Linked DNA regions of Canis lupus familiaris. The protein of the gene in region 1 purifies or fractionates together with the protein of each later gene. This does not show direct contact. Links are inferred from orthologs where the notes say so. Each region holds a gene or a part of one and is shown on either strand. Other genes may lie near its edges. The genes, in order: MTOR, AKT1S1 and FBXW7.

Evidence for each region.
Region 2: the proteins of MTOR (region 1) and AKT1S1 purify together in Homo sapiens (affinity purification with western blotting; 8 studies listed by BioGRID and IntAct, with this or other methods). This does not show direct contact. The link is inferred for Canis lupus familiaris from reciprocal best matches to the Homo sapiens genes MTOR and AKT1S1.
Region 3: the proteins of MTOR (region 1) and FBXW7 purify together in Homo sapiens (affinity purification with western blotting; 9 studies listed by BioGRID and IntAct, with this or other methods). This does not show direct contact. The link is inferred for Canis lupus familiaris from reciprocal best matches to the Homo sapiens genes MTOR and FBXW7.

Annotation. Positions count from the first base shown.
Region 1 is NC_049223.1:84,396,418-84,402,424, forward strand, and holds part of MTOR (serine/threonine-protein kinase mTOR), read left to right. Parts: intron 1-39; coding exon 40-291; intron 292-920; coding exon 921-1,021; intron 1,022-1,919; coding exon 1,920-2,016; intron 2,017-2,278; coding exon 2,279-2,377; intron 2,378-2,679; coding exon 2,680-2,802; intron 2,803-2,954; coding exon 2,955-3,137; intron 3,138-3,515; coding exon 3,516-3,650; intron 3,651-3,861; coding exon 3,862-4,036; intron 4,037-5,459; coding exon 5,460-5,595; intron 5,596-6,007. UniProt on the Homo sapiens protein: Serine/threonine protein kinase which is a central regulator of cellular metabolism, growth and survival in response to hormones, growth factors, nutrients, energy and stress signals.
Region 2 is NC_049222.1:107,360,157-107,366,845, forward strand, and holds the start of AKT1S1 (proline-rich AKT1 substrate 1), read left to right. Parts: upstream 1-2,123; 5' UTR 2,124-2,794; coding exon 2,795-2,991; intron 2,992-2,999; exon of another isoform or gene 3,000-4,889; intron 4,890-6,401; coding exon 6,402-6,689. Other genes in the region: TBC1D17 (TBC1 domain family member 17), read right to left, coding at 1,149-1,223, 1,453-1,551, 1,828-1,848. UniProt on the Homo sapiens protein: Negative regulator of the mechanistic target of rapamycin complex 1 (mTORC1), an evolutionarily conserved central nutrient sensor that stimulates anabolic reactions and macromolecule biosynthesis to promote cellular biomass generation and growth.
Region 3 is NC_049236.1:50,769,889-50,776,539, forward strand, and holds the start of FBXW7 (F-box/WD repeat-containing protein 7), read right to left. Parts: upstream 3,812-6,651; 5' UTR 3,728-3,811; intron 1-3,727. UniProt on the Homo sapiens protein: Substrate recognition component of a SCF (SKP1-CUL1-F-box protein) E3 ubiquitin-protein ligase complex which mediates the ubiquitination and subsequent proteasomal degradation of target proteins.

The DNA.
Region 1 (6,007 bases):
GCCTTGGCGCTCAAGCCTCCTCGTCCCTCGCCCCACCAGGCCTGGCATGCGTGGGCGGTGATGAACTTTGAAGCTGTGCTGCACTACAAACACCAGAACCAAGCCCGGGACGAGAAGAAGAAGCTGCGTCACGCCAGCGGGGCCAACATCACCAGCACGACCACCGCCGCCACCACAGCAGCCACGGCCACGGCCACGGCCACCAGCACCGAGGGCAGCAACAGCGAGAGTGAGGCCGAGAGCACCGAGAACAGCCCCACCCCGTCTCCTCTGCAGAAGAAGGTCACTGAGGTACCCTCCCCTCCTCCCCCAGCGAGGACTGAGCGGGGCAGCAGGCGCTCCGAGGAGCGGAAGGCGCTGGAGGAGCCTGGGCTTCACCCTGAGGGGCCCCACCAGGCGGACGGTGTGGCCTCTCTGCCACCCGGCGCTGTTGGAGACGGAGCTTCCGCGCGTGTGTTTGTTTGAGGCGCGGCTCTAGCCCCCGAGCTGCAGACTGAGTTTCTGGTCCTTCTTCCCACAAGAATGAGGTCATCCCCATAAAGCCTGCACCTGTGAGCGCGTGGGTGGCCGTGCACATGTGCGGCTCCCCCTGAGAACGGAGGCCCGCGGGATCCGTCCTCTGCCCGTGCGGCCCCCTCCCCTCCGGTTGTCCGTCCAGTGACCCGGGGTGGCCAGCAGTCCCGGGGAGCCGCGTGATCCGCCTCAGCCCGCTTAGGAAGCCACCACGAACCTGCAATGATAGGGATCGTGACACAGCTGGCATTTCCTGCGAGCCTGCTGCGTGCCAGCTGCTAATCCAGAGGCTTCTGGCGCAGTAACTGCTTTAACCTCGTCGCATCTCTGAGGGCGGGGACAGTTAGTGTGCAGTCAGGCCCCTTTGGCAGCTGAGAACACTAAGGCAGGCGTGTGTGTTCCAACAGGATTTGTCCAAGACCCTCTTGATGTACACGGTCCCCGCCGTCCAGGGCTTCTTCCGTTCCATCTCCTTGTCACGAGGCAACAACCTCCAGGACACACTGAGGTATCAGAGGAGGGCGGGACCCCGCCAGGCCATGCGTGCAGCAGAACACAGAATACCGCGACGTCCCCTTCTGCTTCCCCACCCGATGAGCACGTCCCCGGGTAGCCGCTGAGCAGCCTGCACCTGCCAAGGCCGAGGGGGAGGCGTGGCCTGAGAGTGGGAGTGGGAGTGCGCTCGGCTCTGCAGGAGGCGGCGCAGCTGTTTGTGGCAGTCGTGCTGAGATCCCCTTAGCTTTTAGAGGCCACTTAGGCCGACACAAAGGGCACAGACTGACCGGTCGGCAGACGACGGGGTGACTAGGACAGCCAAGTCCTACGTTTGCCCCGTTGCCACGGGTCCACAGATGGCTTTCTGTATGTGCAAACATTGTCCGTGGACCGTCCCTGGGCTCATCTGTGAGATTTCTGAGCTCACGCCACGCTGATCCCTCTATTATCTCGAATAAAGTAAGCCTTCCCTTGGGATGCTCCTCCTTGTGTTGAGCCAAGTACTAACGACCATCGCCAACCACTGTCCTGACACCAGACAGGGGAACCGTGTCTGGGGCGGGGAAACCACTGATTTGAGGCCCCGCCAGTTATTCCTTTTCTTTTTTTTTTTAAAGATTTATTTATTTGAGACAAAGAGTGAGAGAGAGAGTGAGGGGGGGAGGGAGAGGTGGGGGTGGGGAGAGAAGCTCAAGTAAACTCACACTGAGTGTGGAGCCCATCTCTGGGTTTGATCCCAGGACCCTAAGATCATGACCTGAGCCAAAATCAAGGGTTGGGCGCCCAAGCAGCTGAGCCACCTAGATGCCCCTTCACCGATTAGTCTTTTTTCAAGTCTTAAAGATAGAAAACCAAACAGACAAAAGTGAGAAAGTAAATTTTCTGTGATTTTTCTCATTTTTCTTCTCCAGAGTCCTCACCTTATGGTTTGACTATGGTCACTGGCCGGATGTAAACGAAGCCTTGGTGGAGGGGGTGAAAGCGATCCAGATCGACACCTGGTTACAGGTGAGGCTGGCTCGGGTCTCCCCCCTGCTCTCTCCCCCTCGCATCACACGGTGTTTGGTGAACAGTGGGAAGAGGGGGCTCAGTCCCAAGGTCGAGACCCCGTATCTTCTTTAGTTTCTCCCAGAGAACTGAAGGGAGTGACCCGTTTCAGAGCTTAACAGCATCTCCCACAAACAAGTTTCAAGAGCGGGTCATTGCCCAGAAGCGTAACTAGTTGTTTCTGCATCTCACGCGCTGCGTACCGTGTCTTTCCGAATGCCAGGTTATACCTCAGCTCATTGCGAGAATCGATACGCCTCGGCCCTTGGTGGGCCGCCTCATTCACCAGCTTCTCACAGACATTGGCCGGTACCACCCCCAGGTATGTGGGCCCCCGGGGCAGTTTCTCCTCAAACCGCGGATCCGGATCCTCTTGATCCGGATCGCAGCCTTCCCTAGAGCTGCTCTCGAGACACAGTGCAGGAACGAGGAGCCAGGCATCCCGTCTGTCCGGCTGCCAGGCCCCGGCCCCGGGGCTTCCCTCAAGAGAAGGTGCCCCCACCCACCCCAAGGTTGAGTGGCCCCGGCCGGGTGGCCTCAAATGAGTGTCAGCAGCACCCTCTCCACCTCTCTTGTCCTCCCAAGAGTGAGAGTGTGCGAGGGTTCTTTCTGTGTCCGCCCCAGGCCCTCATCTACCCCCTGACCGTGGCCTCTAAATCCACCACGACGGCCCGCCACAACGCAGCCAACAAGATTCTGAAGAACATGTGCGAGCACAGCAACACCCTGGTCCAGCAGGCCATGATGGTGAGGCGGGGGGCAGTGCGGGGCTTTGCCGACCCACCACCTAGCCGACGTCTTCAGGGAGACTCTTCCTCACAACGGTGCTCCTGTCTCCAAGACGGGCCTTTCTGAGGGGGCTCATCGTCCGCCTTCCCTCCCTCCCCACTTTGGTCCAGGTGAGTGAGGAGCTCATCCGCGTGGCCATCCTCTGGCACGAGATGTGGCACGAAGGCCTGGAAGAAGCGTCACGTTTGTACTTTGGGGAGAGGAACGTGAAAGGCATGTTTGAGGTGCTGGAGCCCCTGCATGCTATGATGGAACGGGGCCCCCAGACTCTGAAGGAAACATCTTTTAATCAGGTAAGGGATAGGAAAGCACGGCGTGGCATGACCCAAAGCCCGTACCAGACCCCTTTCCCCCGGCCCTCGTGCTGACTTGAGTAAAACGTACTCTGACGGAGGTCGCAGAACATAGAAACCCCAGCAGTTTCGTTGTCACCAGCTTATGAGAACCCTCCAAGGCTTTCCCCGGAAAACCACAAGGTTCTTCCCGAGGTCGTCTTGCCTCTCCTTACCGCGCCCGGGAGCCATCCTGACGCGGGGGCCTCCAGGACTGGGCTGCACCCTTGCTGAGCCTGGCTGAGGGCCAGAGTCCGGCCGCTGCAGCGCGTGCCCGAGCAGTTGTGCTGTGTGCGTGGGGTTCACCTGCGGCTGAGTCTGCACCCTGCCTTCCCGCAGGCATATGGTCGAGACTTAATGGAGGCCCAGGAGTGGTGCAGGAAGTACATGAAATCCGGGAACGTCAAGGACCTCACCCAGGCCTGGGACCTCTATTACCACGTGTTCAGACGGATCTCCAAGCAGCTGCCTCAGGTAGGAACGTCCGGTTCCAGCAGCATTAACTGTCATCGCCCCTTCTCTTGCTGAGAGCGTCCTGGCCCTCACTGCGAAGCACCTGGTCTCACTGCTGTCTGCAGACGTGGGGATAAGACATTGCCACTAGCAATCCATTGAGAAGGACCTAGACTGCATTTACACTCCTCCCTGGAGGCAGAAAGCTAACCCCCGTGGTAATTATCCACAGCTCACCTCCCTGGAACTGCAGTATGTTTCCCCCAAACTTCTGATGTGCCGGGACCTTGAGTTGGCCGTGCCGGGAACGTACGACCCCAACCAGCCCATCATTCGCATTCAGTCCATAGCACCGTCCCTGCAGGTCATCACCTCCAAGCAGAGGCCCCGGAAGCTGACGCTCATGGGTAAGGACACGTGTGCTTCCGCCTCCTGCATCTCCCTCCCACCCTGGCTGAACCTCTCCCCACTTTTCTGAAATCACGGCTCGCCGTTCGTATCCCTCCTCTCCCGTGTCCGTGGAGAGGGAAATAGAGGTCCATGCATCCTCCTCCGGACTCCTGGTGCTCGGACCATTGTGCGTGCTTATGGGAAGCCTCACTGCCGTGCAGGGTGTGCAGCCTGGGCAGCTGGGGCAGCAGGCACTGCAGGGGACTGACATGGTGCAGCAGGTGTGGCAGGTGACAAGCAGGGCTGAAGAAAGGGCTCCTGGGCTCTTGAATGTTCTCTTTTACCATCAGGGTATCTCTCTGTGGGAAATGACTCTGTAAGAGAAACAAACTGATGTGGAAATGGGTTCTCATGGGAGCTCCGTGAGCACCTGGGCAGTTGCAGGACATCCAGATGCCCTGGCGGCCCTTTGAGGGCTCTCTCCTCTCGTACGGCTCATGCGTTTTAAATGCAGTAGTTACTCAGCACGGTTCGTCGTGGCACGAGTGACCGCCTCTCCGTGGGCCGGCATCTCCTGGGACGAACACACGGGTCAGTCGGGCTCTCCACGGTATTTGCTCAGAGACCCGGATGAAGGACCTGTTCCCAGGGAAGCTGTGAACAGAGTCAAGAGAACCCACAGTGGGAAGCTGTGACTCACGCCCCCGCCTGGCCCGAAAGGCCGGGGAGCCTGTTGAGAGCACACGACCTGGAAAGAGGCCATCGCCAGTAGTACAGCCCGGATGGGGGGACTCTGCTACCTTCTAGAACGGGAGCCCGGCCGGCTGACAGGGGCAAACCCTTGGCTTCTCCCTCTCCCACCCTCTGACCTCCCTCCCGCCAGTATCCCCGTTGGCCCAGCTGGGAAGGTGGGCGACCCGGTCTCTAGGGCTCAGGCTGCACAGGCCCCAGCAAGACCGAGAAGGGCAGACAGTGGCTTGTGAGGGAGCATCCAGAATGGCCTCCCTGTGCACACTCACGCCTGATCTTCATAGAACTGTTTTTATTTCATTGCTTTTTGAAGATTGTATTTATTTACTTGAGACAGAAAGAGCGCACAGGCAGGGGAGCAGAGGGAGACGGAGAAACAGACTCCCTGCTCGGAGTCCCTCTCAGGGCTCCATCCTGGGACCCGGGACCCGGGACCATGACCTCAGCGGACGGCAGGCGCTTACCTGCCTCAGCCCCCCGGGGACCCTGGACAGGGCTGTTTTTTATTGTATTTGTTTTTAATTTGACCGACATTTCATTGGGAACATCAAGAGCAGGGCCATTCTTTGCATCAGTTCTAGGGAACTTTCTTGCATTTGTGCGGAAATAGGGCTGGGTAGGGAACGTGTAGTCTCTGGGAGCTTGTGGGTACCGGGCTGGTTGTGCTAACTGCTCCCACCTTCCTCACAGGCAGCAACGGGCATGAGTTTGTTTTCCTCCTGAAGGGCCACGAAGACCTGCGGCAGGATGAGCGGGTGATGCAGCTCTTCGGCCTGGTGAACACCCTTCTGGCCAATGACCCAACGTCTCTTCGCAAGAACCTCAGGTATCCAGGACGCGGTGCTGCGTGGGGGTGGGCAGCGATCTGACCCGTCTTCTAGGGTTTCCTTACTTCCCATCCATGTGCTCACGTCCCTTCACGAAATCAGCTATAGACGAACGTACCTGACAGGAAGTCGTCAGTAGCCAAGGTGTCAAACACAACAAGAGGAATTATCCATACTTTGAGCGTACTTTCTAGGGAAATGCCTGAAACAGCCACCAGAAAGAGGGTCTGGAATGGAACAGCCCATGGCCACTAGACTAGAGATGCTGTGCATCTGGGGTGTTTCACTTTTCCCCGTCCGCCCTGCTCCCTTCCTCCTCTTCCTGTTAAGAACGTGGGTATTATGCTGGGAGGTTGTTTTGGCTTAGAAATCATCACGAGGCTGCTCCCCCGGGGCTGTGAGTTCATCAGG
Region 2 (6,689 bases), on another chromosome or scaffold:
AAGAGGACAGTCACATTTTCAAGAGAGGCACTCAGCCGACCTGCGAAGCTGACAAAAAACGCAGAATGCTCGATGCTTCCTCCTCAACCCTGGCTTGAGCAGAATTCTGGAATCTCCATTTGTCTCACACACACATACACACCCTCGCCAGGTTATTCAAACCCCCACTGCCCCAAGTGAGGCTTCATTCTCTCTACCCCTGGTACACCATTCTAACCTTCTTCCTGACCTCCCTGCCTCCAACTTCCCTCTATTCGGACCTGCCCATTCCCAGCACGGTCTCTCAGGAGAGCTTTCCACACCCACACCCTTCTCCTCCCATGGTTCCCCGAGGCCTCTAGAACATCATCCAAGCTTCCCAGTCGGGCATTTCAGAATCAACCATCTTTCCAGCAAACTGCTCTACAGAGACACCCCATTTCCTCCTGCCATCCCTGAAGTATTTTCTTGCTCCCTTATCCTTACGGTTCCAGCGCAATGTCTGCTTCCTCCAGAAAGGGGCAGGCCTCTGGAATCAGAGAGTCTGGTATCAAACTCAAGTTCCAACACCTCCTAGCTTTTTGATCTTGCAAAAGGAACTTCCAATCATTGTGCCTCAGTTTCCCAAAGTAGAATGGGGGTGAAGACTGAGGCAGGGTCCAAGTCAGACTCCTCTCTGGGTCCCAGCACAGAGCCTGGTGACAAAAAGCCTCAGGAGCCTCTAAGAACAAGAAGGGCAAAGTCTGGCACCCAGGGTAGGAAGGTGTCCTGGGAAGTGGGTGAGCCACCTGGGTCAGGGTGTGTTTCCTCTCTGAAGGGGACATGCCACACCCCTTCAGGCTCTTGTGGACTGAGAGCTCGTGGAACCCGAATCCACAGGCCACGCCGTCCTCTCGCACCCTGGCAGGGCTCTCCTAAGAGCAAACAGATGAGGGGGCAGCTGTCCCCTAGGCTACAAATCTCATGGTGTCAGCTTTCTTTTGATCGGGCATCTTCAGCTCCATTTTACAGACAAGAGGAAACCAAGGAGCAAAGAGAACCTAGATCCCAACAAGGATCACACAAGCTCCAAAAGTAAGTCTGGGTTTGCATCCAGGTCCTTCAAACATCTTCCACTGCCTGAACCTGGAAAAAAGCGAGTGGAGAAACGAGAAGAGAGAAAAGCCTACCTTCTTGGAGAAGAGAATTTGGGTGGAATCTCCAGCCTCCTCTACAGGAACCCAATGCAGGAGAACATCGCTGTCCTGAGGAAAGAAAAGAGGAATTAGAGAGACTCCCCTCCAATCACCGCAAGCCGTATTTCTGTACTTCTTCCCCGGCCCGGACCCTCAGGCTTACAAAGCCCCCCTTATACCCCCAGTCCGCGCTCCCTGCCTTCTTAAGGTCCCATCGTGACCTCCTAGATCATACTCCTATAGACGCCGCCTCCATCTCGCCCAGGGCCCGCCGGAGCCCTGCTCCCTCCTGGCCCACCTTCTCCACAACGCGGATGACGCCAGCGATGAGGGAGTCCGGGTCCTGGTGCTTCTTGGCGCTGGTGTGCAGATACACACCACCCTTCTCAAACACCACCTGCGGACACAAATCGGTGAGGGGCGGGACCCAAGCGCAGGACAGCCAGGGGGCGGTGCCCAGAGGAACGTCCCAGCCGGCGGGGGCGGGGCCACAAGGTAAGGGTCTTCCCTAGGGCAGCCGAGGGGAGGGTGACAGAGTATTTATAAAGGAATGGTGTCTTTGCTCCGGCTCAGCCGGGCTCCCAGAGCTCCGGCAGGGCGTTGGGCGAAGCCGACTACCAGAGGGCGTCGCTTCGCATCCCCAGGAGGGAAAGAACGCGTTCCCAGTGCTTACCCTGTAGCCGGCTCCCTCCATAGCCGCGGCCGAGGTCCCACTGCCCCGGCCCTCTCCCTTTCCGGGTCACCGTGCTGTCACATCCGGATAGGAGACTCCCCTCAAGCCTGGACAGTGGTAGCGCCCTTGCCTGTTCTAGAACAGGAGTGGACGTAACCACCTTTCAGAACGGGGTGGCTGAACTTGAACCACGAGGGTGTAAGTCACATGGCACGCACGGGGAAGGAGGGGCAGGCCAGCGAGAGTGCGCATGCGCAGTGCCGCTTCCCTTACCATGGAGTAAACAAGGGGGAGGATCCAAGGGCTCCACCCCCTCGCCCCAGCGCTCTCCGAAACACCTCCTTCTTTCTCCATATTGTATACTGGCATCGAAGCCAAGGAGATTCCATTTTGCTCGAGGGCACGGCCAAAGCTTGTCAGCTGCGGCCATGTTAATGCGGGGCAGTCCCATCTCTCTGAGGGGCGCAACAGCAAGGTCCTGGAAAACAGACGGGTAAAGGAAAAGAAGGTGAGAGGAGGCGTACGTCACGAGAGGTGCTGAGGGACTTGGGTTAACGGGATGAAGCCGTCAGTATCCCCGGGTACGAAGCGGACCCAGTCGAATTCCTGAGTCACCGTCGGGAGGCGGCGGTGTAGGCCGCCATATTGAAGCCTGGCAAAGCGAAGCAAAAAAAGTTGCCATATTGGATCTTCCCCAGCATTGGTGCTGAAAAGGGGGATAGGCTGGAGGGAGAGTCCATGTACGCTTTGGGCAAGTGATGCTAGGATGGTTGCCATGTCGTTAATGGGCACTACTTTCCTCCATTTCTGTGGAAGAAGTTGACAATGGGTGAGGGGCGTCAGGTCGCTGGCCTTAGTTTACTGTGGTCCTGAGAATACACGTGCCGACGGCCGTATTTCTTAGCAAATCGAAATGGTCTTGGCTTGTTTCCGAGCAAGCTGAAGCCTTTCTTTCACCATCTTTCTTATGGGCACCCTGCTGTCGCCACTGTCCCACTGTGATCCGGTGATGTCCCCGTGGTCATTATGGTCTCGGGCGGCCCCGATAAGGGAGGCGGAGTGTGCAGCATGGAGGAGGGCCAACCACGCGGAAGTGACGCGAGGCGCCGCCATGTCTTTTGAGGGCGGCGACGGCGCCGGGCCGGCCATGCTGGCTACGGGCACGTGAGTGGAGGCGGCGTTGTGAACCGCGGTGTGGGGAGGATTTGGCCGTCCGGAGGAGAGGGGCGCTGGGAGGGCGAGCCGCTCGCGGGAGGGGTATGGCCTGAGTAGATCAGAGGGCAGAGATCTTCCAGCGACCCTACGCTGAGCGCTAGGAAGGGGTAGCCCGCGGGAACCGTTGTGTCTCACTGGAGGCAAAACCTAGACAGACTTATCCTCCGGTCTGCAGACCCACTAGGATCCTTGCCTTGGCGTGGACCATGTCCACAGGGTCTGGGGGTTGCTCGGGGGGACTCGGGGCTCCCCTCACCCGTCCAAAGGCGGGACTTCCGGTCCTGGCCCCCCACCTGGGCGGGATTTCCTGTTTTCTTCCTAGAGAAGTGGGTCCTCCCTGGACCCCCGGGCGAGGTGGGGAGAAGGTTTCTGAGAGGTCGAGGAAGAGCCCAGGCCTTCACCTTTCCCCCGGCCTCGCGGGGTGGGGGCTGGGGGGCCACCCTCGAGTTTCTCCCACTTTGGGGCGGGGGTGCACTGCCAATTTGACAGGTGGTCGGAAGGGGGCTTAATTAGCATTCCTCCTTGCGTGGTGGACTTTGCCTCTTTCCTCACCTCTTCCTAGAGTTACTTCTTTCAGTTCACCTCCTCATCTCATCCTAAAGGGCCAATTACCTTAGCTTTCCCCTCCCCCTCCTCTGGGGGACAAGTCTCACCTCTCTCCCTAATCCTAGGCTCCTCAAATTGGTTGGCTGAGGACCCTCCGTCCATCTCTGAGCTCCTTAGAGGATACAAGACTTCCTCCAGCAGCTGAAAGGGTAGAGTCTCCCCTGGTCTTGGCCACTCTACTTTTAAACAACTAATGCCAGAGAGCCCCCAGGCCTTGGCAGAGAAGTTGAGTTGCCCTCCTTGTATTTGCCCAGTTCTCCTCCTCTTTACAGTGGGAGGACCCTCACACCCACTCACCCCCATTACACTCTTTTCAATCCTGTAACTACTCTAAGATCTAGGACAGAGAGTTTAATCCTGATGTCCCAGAGATGTGAAAGCCCTAGGCCTAGCACTGCCAGGCTGTGTGACCTTGGGCCAGTCATTTCCCTGCCCTGAGCCTTGGTTTCCTCCTTCTGGTAGGTGAGACCCTGAGCACTTCTCAGTTCTATTGGATTTTGGAGTCAGGCAAACAGCAGAGTCAGCCCTGCTCTGACCCATTTAACTTCTGGGACTCTGACCAATGCCTTAGGCTGTCTGAGCCTCACTTTCTCCATCTGAATGTAAACCTTTCCTGATAAGGAAGGCAAGATGGCATTTGGGATTAAGAACAGGCTCTCCTCTCCAGCCCCTTTTACCTCATCGAGATACTGAATCTCCCTAAGCCCTTGATGTGCAACCATGAAATAGGGTAATAACAGCCCCTGCCTCATAGGGTTGGGGAGAAGGTAGCATGAGAATGGTGATGATCCATTTGCATCCCTGCCTGGCATGTGGGAAGTGCAGGGTGAGTTTGCCATGGGGTCTGTCAGGAATGGTGCTGGTTGTGACCTCACTGTGTGTGGCTTCCAGCAAGGGCTTTGTACTCTATGGGCCTTGGCTGTCTCATTAGTGAGGTAACAGCTCCCACCTTAGTGGGTCAGGTGGGAGGTGAAATGAGAGGTGTAGACTCCCTACACAGAGTCAGTGCTCAGCAAACACTGGTTCATGTGATTATAAGTTGAAAAGGGCCTGCACATTGAAATCAAATAACCCTGGCTGGACTAGAACCTTGCTTGAATTCCTCCAATGTTGGGGTGCCCCCTACCTCCCTGAGGAGGCTTCTTGGCTTCCCAGCAGTCCTGGTTTAACCACTTTGATTTACAGGAAGAAGAAAATGAGACACAGAGAGGGCCAGTCAGTGGTCCAAGGTCACACAGCAGGTTTGAGATGGCCGGAAGCCAGCCCACTTGCCCTTGCTCTTTTCTCTCTCTCTCTCTTCTTTAAGTTTGTTTATTTATTTAAATAATCTCTACACCCTTTGTGGGGCTCTTGATTACAATCCCAAGATCAAGAGTTGCATGCTCTTCCAGTTGAGCTAGCCAGGCACCCCAACCCCTTGTTCTTTTCATTTCATAAGTAGATGCATCCAGTAGATTGTCTGCTTAGGACAGACCTGTTCTGGGGTACAGATCCCCGACCTTGGGGAGCTCAGATGTGTGATGGAGGAGGCAGACAGGTACAATTGTCACAAGCTCAAATGACAGTGAGGTATAATGGATGTAGCCCAGGGCATTGTGGGTCTAGGGAAGGCATCTGGCAGAAAAGTCTTGTAGGAAATACAAAATTTCATGGATGGAGTCTAGGCGCAGAGAGCAGCTTGCACACCATTTTCTGCTCCATCCCTGGTCTCTGAGGCCTGTCAGGTGCTGGGCAATGCTGGCGGCTCAGAGATTAATCCCATGGGCTCCCCCTCAGGTGGCTCCACAGTGGCTGGGGAGATGGAGGTGGATCCAGACAGTACTCCCCATGGGAATATGTGCTAGAATGGAAGGACTCTCAGACATTGTAGGAGTCCAGAGAGTGGGGACTGAGCCCATCTGGGATGAGGGGAAGCTCCTTCCACGCTAGGGTGAGAGAAAGGTCAACAAGTAATCAGGGAACAAGTTATCCAGGTATAGGGGGACCTGGTATAGGGGAACTATTTAACTGCAGGTCTGAGGGCTCAGAAGTCTGGAAGGTTGTGAAGCTGAGTGCAGAGCCGGGGTTACGACCATGTCCTGGGGATACTAGGGAGAGGCAAGGGCAGTTCCAGTGTAGGAGGACCCCAAGGGGCCCGAACTGGAGGCTCAGAGGTTCAGGAAGAGGCTGGAATGATTGTCCCGCAGAAAAAGAATGCAGGCGAGGCATATAACTTCAAATCTTCTATAAGCTGCATTAAAAAAGTCAAAGGAAAACAGATAAAAGTCATTTTCGCCTTATATCAACTAGCCATTATATCTGAGATGTCATCTTTTCCACATGTAATCAACCTCAGACTGCCAGTGAGATCTCTGACATCCAACCTTTTTTGTCCCAAGTCTTCTAAAATCCAGTGTGGGTTTCATACTCATGGCACCTCTCACCTTGGACCCGCCACATCTCAAGGGCTCCTTAGTCACACAGGTGGCGGGTGGTGCCCACATTGGACTAGGCAGGGCCAAGAGGAGGGGCGGGGGCTGTCGGTACTGGGCGTGGCGGGAGGAATGGGTCCGGAGGGTTGGGGACGGTGCTAGGAGGTGTGGATGGTGGGGAATGTGGAGAGTGGCAGATTTCGGGGAAGGGGCTGAGCTCAGCCGGGACCAGGTGGCTGGGAGGGGTGGGAGCGGCGTCTTGGGGCAGGTGGACACGTAGGGGCCAGGTGCAGACAGGGCAGCCAGCCGGGCCTCAGCTCTCTGTCCTGCTCTGCCCTGCAGGGCGTGGATGGCGTCGGGGCGCCCCGAGGAGCTGTGGGAGGCGGTGGTGGGGGCCGCCGAGCGCTTCCGGGCCCGGACAGGCACGGAGCTGGTGCTGCTGACTGCCGCGCCGCCCCCGCCACCCCGCCCAGGCCCCTGTGCCTACGCGGCCCATGGCCGTGGGGCCCTGGCTGAGGCTGCCCGCCGTTGCCTCCACGACATCGCCCTGGCCCATAGGGCTGCTGCTGCTGCCCGGCCCCCCGTGCCCCCGCCAGCACCACAGCCACCCAGCCCTGCTCGGAGTCCCCC
Region 3 (6,651 bases), on another chromosome or scaffold:
TCCTTAAAGTTAATCTAAACATGGTTTCACCTGCATAAAATATGTTGCGGAAAATAGAGGGGTGGAGAACGCACCCATATGGCACATATTTCAGTCCTGTACCTTCATCTTAGGATCAATTGAGATCTGGCTCCCTACCTAAATACATCTCTTCCCCAGAGGGTTCTGCCATTTGAATTAAACTCTTAAGAAGAGACCAAAGAAGCTAGTAGGAAGGTGACAAACTGAATGAATTAAAGAATACAAAAAGTGTGGATGCGTATATATTACTGACCTTACAATCCTTACTCTTTGTTAGAGTCAACACTAAAAACAAGGCCCATTAGCTGCAGGTTTCACCACACACACAAAAAAAATCTTCCAGTGTCTCATGCTTCAAAGACAGATGAATTTTGTCGATGCCAAGTTGTTTCTGTTTGTTTTTTAATAAAAAGGTTTAAAAAAAAAAAAAGGCATTTTCAGCACTGCTGTGCCAACACAGGGATATCCCCTCCATTGTATGGGACACAAAGACACATCAACTGCAAGCAGGGGAAGCAGCCTTCTCTGCCAGCTATTTTTAGCCCTACTTCACTCGTCATGTTAAAGACCAAACTTAGGATAATAATGCTGGGCAAACTTTAAAAGCATGAATTTTATGAAAACAAACCTGTCCTTTTATATAGAAGTTCCTTAACTGTGAAATCCTATATACTCTTCTGAACTTAATCTCAAGGGACCTATATACTCTACAGAAAGCTTGTTAGCTACTTCACAAATATAGACTCACATGTCCAAACACTGAAGTGGTAGCCATGTTTAAAGCCTGTTCCTCCCTTTTGAACTTCAAATCTTACACACTTCTAAAATATGTGTTTCGGGAGAGTCTCATCCATTCTCTGTTCTTACTATATCTTTGCTAACTTTAAACAGATTCCCTTCCCCGCCAAAGTAAAAATACACGGGTTTTTTGGCTCTCTATTCTCTTCTCAGCTCTCCTGAGAAACCTTAATACTGTGAAAATGACTCCTAACTTTACATTTTCAGCATATCACTCATTAGTTTAACTATTTTTCTGTCTTCAGATTGCATCAGCACCAACTTTTTGCCCTAAAATGTAATGTCAAAAACAAAGTCCATTGCCCTATTTCTGAATTATTTTCTATAAGAAACCACTAGCACCAAACTAGAACATCTCCTTTTTCACTCCTCCAGTTGTAGAGCTCTTTGATGACCATGGTTTAAAATGTTGGTTCACTAGAAAAACAAAACTACTCCAGGTATAATGCCTCTTGAACTAAAAATACAATTTCTCCTCAATCACCTAAAACTACCCTCTCGGAACATTGTTCTCAATTGCTCCTTTGGGCTGTATACATGTAACTGCACAAACACAAACTGACTCTAAGCCCACTTAACAACCTCCATCCATATTCCCATCAAGCTAACTTCCTGATTACATTTGTCCCTCACACCCCCCAATTCCAAAAGTCTTAAACACTACCTCCACCTGTATCTTTCTTCCTAAGAGAGACCTTCTTTCCCAGATTTGGTTCAGACATTCCAATTGGGTTTGTATAGTCCAACACCAACATTTTGCTAATGGAAAATATACAAATACATTTATACCTATAAGGCACCAGAGTAGTATGACATATAATGATTGTAAATAAATATTGGCTCATTCCCCCCTTTTCCTACAATTTTGTAGAATTTATGTTTCATAGCCTATGCCATAAGTAAAAGCATCTCAAAGGCAGGGACCCCAAATACTTTGCTGTTTCTTTGCTACCCAAACATACAATAAAACATTACCGTGCTTTTTAACCAATCTCCAGTCAAAGCAATAAAAAAGAAGTCTTAAAGTTAGTAAGCAACTTCGACAGAGTACAAATCTACACTCAAGTTATAGTTTGCTAGGTATGGCTTCCCTTCCTCCCCAAAAAACAGCCTATGCCCAGACTAGATTTCTCTTCCTCCCATCTTTTGTGAAACATGGGATACAGGACTTCCTCAAGGTCTCAAAATAAGATAACAGATCCAGAGACATTTGCTTTTGATTCAACATCTAACATTACATCTACTCATCAGAATTTTCATGTCATTACCCATTTAAAATAGATAGAACTTAAGGTTCCTTACAAAAGCATCCCAAGCACAAATATATAAAGAGAAACAAAACAGCTGGAAAAGTTCCAGGAGAGGCAAAACGATCAAGGGATCAAAGAAATCATTCTAAGACTGACACAGAAAACTAGGCATGATGATGGTAAATAAAGAGGAACAATCGAAATCTAAAAAACCAGGAAAAGATGAACTCTAGCGTGTCCTAGCATTCTCAAAACAAAAACGCTGGAGGTGCCTTGGGACTTTAAAGAGACGGGTTTGGGATAAATAAATGAAATGTCAAATATTTCAGGGGCTAGTACACTTGTATAACCCACTACCTCGAAAAAGTACAAACGAAAACCCTATTTGAGAAAGTTTTAAATATATGTAAAATCAAGATCCTGAATGGAGAAGTTAGCACAGACAATCCCAGCCTTTCATTCATTCCCACAAAGCTTCTCTCAGCAGCGGCTTCACAGGTAGTGAGCCTACACTGTTGTCTGGAGGAGTCACAATTCTCAGTATGGTACTGCCTATGTTCTGTTAAATAAAATTCCACCCTATGCTTAACACTTAAGGTCTATTTAAATACATGGAATGGTCCTTACTTTCCTGCACCTCGCCTGGGCACTTTGACGGGATACCTAAACCTCACCTTCTAATAATGGAAGGGAAGAGAAAAGAATCACTCTTCAAATAATCAAATATCAAAAAGTTTCTCCCTGTTTGGTAGCAAAGTAAGGATAACTCAAACAAGCAAAGTTTCAAGTCATCCTGCCAAATTAAAAAAAAAAAAAAAAGTGCTGGCAATTAAGATAGGCTACTCAAAAATTAAAAAAAGAAAAGAAAAGAAAAGGCATTTGGGTAGGGGGAAAAAGGTAACAACTTTTATAAACTGCTTGAAGTACTAGATGCTCTTCCCCCAAGTAAGTCATGATTGGTAAGAGTCAACTTCCTGAGTACCTGAAATCTCTTACAGTATCCTGACACGCAGGAGTTGGACCCAGGAAATGAGAAGGTTAAAAAAGAAATAAAGAAAGAAAGAAAAAAAAAAGAAGAAGAAGAAGAAGAAGAAGAAGAAGAAAAAAAAAAAAAAAAAAAAACAACTCCTGTACCAATAGGTACTGAAATGAAAATCTCTCAAGGAAGACTGCAAAAACAAGAAAGGAATTTTACCGAAAGTAAAATTCAGGGGTTCACAGGGTAAAAGGTTCCCTCCCAAGAACCCTAAGAGTTGCCCCGAAACAAAAACCACAGCGCTGTTTCACACCCGGTGCACCAGGAAAAGGTGTATTACAGAGATGTCCTTTGTGTGCACATATGCTTTGGCTTCCTCAATTTCCTTTTGCCGATTTCTGGCCAGAAAGGTGCAAGTGTCCGCTCTGGACAAAGACAGAACTCCCCTGAGACAGGGACCTGTAAGCTTGCGCGTTACCCGTACAAAGAGGTGAAGCGTCCCGAGACCCAGGACGGCCCAAACCTTCTCCCCCGCGGTAAAGATACAGATGCACCGCGCCTCATCCACACGCGCACCCGCACCCGCACCCGCACCCCGCGAACGCGCGCCCCACTCCGGCAGCGCCAACCCGCCCCCCCCCCCCCGCCCCCCGCCCCGGCGCCCTCTCCCCGGGCCACTCACACTTCGCGGGAGAGCCGCGGCGCTGCGAACCGGGCCGGCGCCCGTCCTCCGTCGGGGAGGCGGCGGCCGCGGAAGGCTCCGGCGCTGTGAGGGCGGAGCGGTGCTCGCGCCAAGCCGGGCGGCCAGCCGGGCTCTTCCGCGCTGCCGGGGCCCGGGAGGCGGCGGCCGCCCCGCTTCCCTCCTGCCGCCCTCTTCCTGGGTGTCTTCAGGCTGCGTCTCCTGCCCGCCCCGGGCCGCGTCTCCCGGGACAGTCCCGTCGGCGAGGCTCCAGATTCTGCTCTTCCCAAGTTTTCCTGTTGCGCTGAGGCTGCGGCCGGCCCCCCGGGTCCCCCCCGGCCCCGCCGCCCTCGGGGCTGGGGCGGGGGAGGGGGCTCTGGGAACTCCTCCCGGAGTCCTGCCGAGGAGCCGGGGGGCCGGCGGCTGGCCGAGGGAGAGGACCCCCCCGCGAGGGGGCTGAGGACGGGGGGAAGGCGAGGGAAGGACGGCGGCGCCGCTCCCGCTCTCCCCGCCGCGCCCGGGCCGCCGCCTCACATCGGGGTCCCCGCCCCCCCGGCCGGGGGGTGGCTGCTGAGCTCGGGCCCCCGGCTCATACACTCCGGGGCCAGATGCTACGGCCCCGGGCGGGCGGCCGAGGCGGCGGCGAGGGGGGGGACCCGGCCGGCTCCGCTCGGCGCCGCCCCCGCTCCCGGCTCCCGCATGTGTCGCTGCGGCCGGGACCCCCTCCCTACACGTCGGGGGTCCCTCGCCCCGCGGCCCGGGACGAGACGGAAGCTCCGGCCCGTCCTCGGCGTCTTCGCAGCGCGGAGCGGCTGACGAGTCCCGGCCCGAGGTAGCCGCCTCCCTGCCCCCCAGCCGCCGGCTCCGGCTCCGGCTCGGGCTCGGGCTCGGGCTCGGGCTCGGGCTCCGGCGTGTGCAGCCGCGGCTGCCGGCCGGGAAGGCGAGGGGGGGAGAAGAGGGGCGGCCGCGGCTCCCGCCGGTCCGGGTCAGGACGGAGGTCTCGGCGGCGGCCGGTGCCCGGGGGCCGGGTCCCGCGGACGCTCGCTCGCTCTCACGCTCTCCGCGGCGGCGGCGGCGGCGCCCGGAGCTCCGCTCGCTGTCTCGCTCGCTCTGTGCGGGGCTCTCGCCTCACTCCAGAGAGGGGCGGGAGGAAAGCGGCGCGGCCGGATGACGCAAGTCACCTAGCAACCGCTCCCCTCACCCCCGCCCTTTTCTTTCCGCCGGGACGTTTCCTCCGCGGGCCTTTTTTTTTTTCCCCCGGTTCTAGGCACCCCGCCCTGGGTGACTGCGGCGCGCTCTGATGACGCGGGAAGGGAAGAGGAAGTCGGGGCTCCGCGAGCGGGTGGGTGCGCCTCGGGCCGCGGGACCTGCCGCCGCCGCCGCCGCCGCCTCTGCGGCCGCGTCAGAACCGAGGAGAGGAAGGGGAGGAGCCGAGGGGAGCCTAAGCTGCCGCCTGATCTTACCCCTGACCCGGCGGCGGCGGCGGGGAGAGCTCGCTCCGCAGCGGTCTCCTTCGGGGCAGGCGGTGGCTGCTCCTTTGGGAGCGAGGAGGAAGGCCCGGCCCGCGCGGCCATGCTCGGGCGCGCACCACCCGAAGGTGAGGCATCCAGCCCCGACGGGCCTCGGGAAGCCGGACTGAGCGCGGGCTGCCCCGCCGCCTGACCCGCTGCACCTGCTCCGGGGAGCGAGCGCCCCCTCCCCCTGCGCGGGGCGCGGGCGCGGGGCGAGGCCCGGCCCCCGACACCCGGCAGCGTGCGGTCGGGCCGAGCACATGCTCGGGGATGAATGGACGCCTCCCCCCGGGCACCCGCGGAGCGCAGAGTACTCGATGGGGCGCGAGCGCTCCGGAAGCTGCGTAGCGTCGGAGAGACCAGAGCGGCCAGACAGCCCTTCTCCGCCCCCACCCCCACCCCCACCCCCACCCCGCCGGGGGACGTAGGGCTGTGGTTTGAGTCCCGAGTCACCATCTGAGCCTTATGCTCCAAAGGGGGGAGGGGGGGGGGCGGGGGCGACTGGCCGGGACGAGGGAAGGGGACCATCCTCCCGGAGACTGTGGAGAGATTTTTGACTTTTTTCAGGAGGAGATGTTAGTAGTGTCTCCATTTTAGGAATCATTCTTGCTTGTTGTGAAGCTTTTGGAGAGCTGATTCTGGTCGTTAGGTAAGTGTCCACAACCGTCATCGAGAAAACGTTGGCCTGCGTTTCAGGTCTAATCCAAAGGCTATTTCCTTTCTCAAATAAATATTGTTACTCTTACGCAGCTTCTCCTACAGATGTTACCCTGGAAAGTAAATTCAAGTAAAACTCACGAAGTTGTAAAGTGTAGTTAGTTCTCCAGGAAAGGAAATTTTGAGATGAAAGTGTCAGAATCCTCGGAATCTGCCTGGAACCTGTCCGGGTGAATAGCGTGGAGACTGAGATGAGAAAGCAGCAGCAAGGATGGAAGGACGCAGATTCCAGAGTTCCGCCGCCGGACCCTGGCACACCCCACCTGCTCCCGAAGCAGCATGAATGGATGTTACAAGTCTTTCCGCTTTGGGAACTAAGGAGCGAGTTTTTATAGGCAGATTTTGGAAGCTCAGGGTTTCTACCAGCATCATATGCAAACAGTAGACCAAAGAAGGTTCTAACTGGGCGAACCCAAGGGCTCACTTTTATTAAAATGATGCAGAAAGAGTGATAGGAGTGGGGAAGTGGGTGTTGCAGAAGCAAGAAGAGACTCACAAAGCAGAACTTGCCCAGGTGTCCTTGATGCGAAGTTCCAAGAGCCAGGCTAACTATCCTGTTTAAGCTACTGTGGATTTTACTGCGTTGTCATGATCGCTGCTTTACCATGTCCTTCCAAGTTAAGACTCACAGAGAATCTGATCCCCAAGTGATAGCCCCACATGGTTTTGCCTCTCCCTAATTTCCTGGCAGAAATTGAA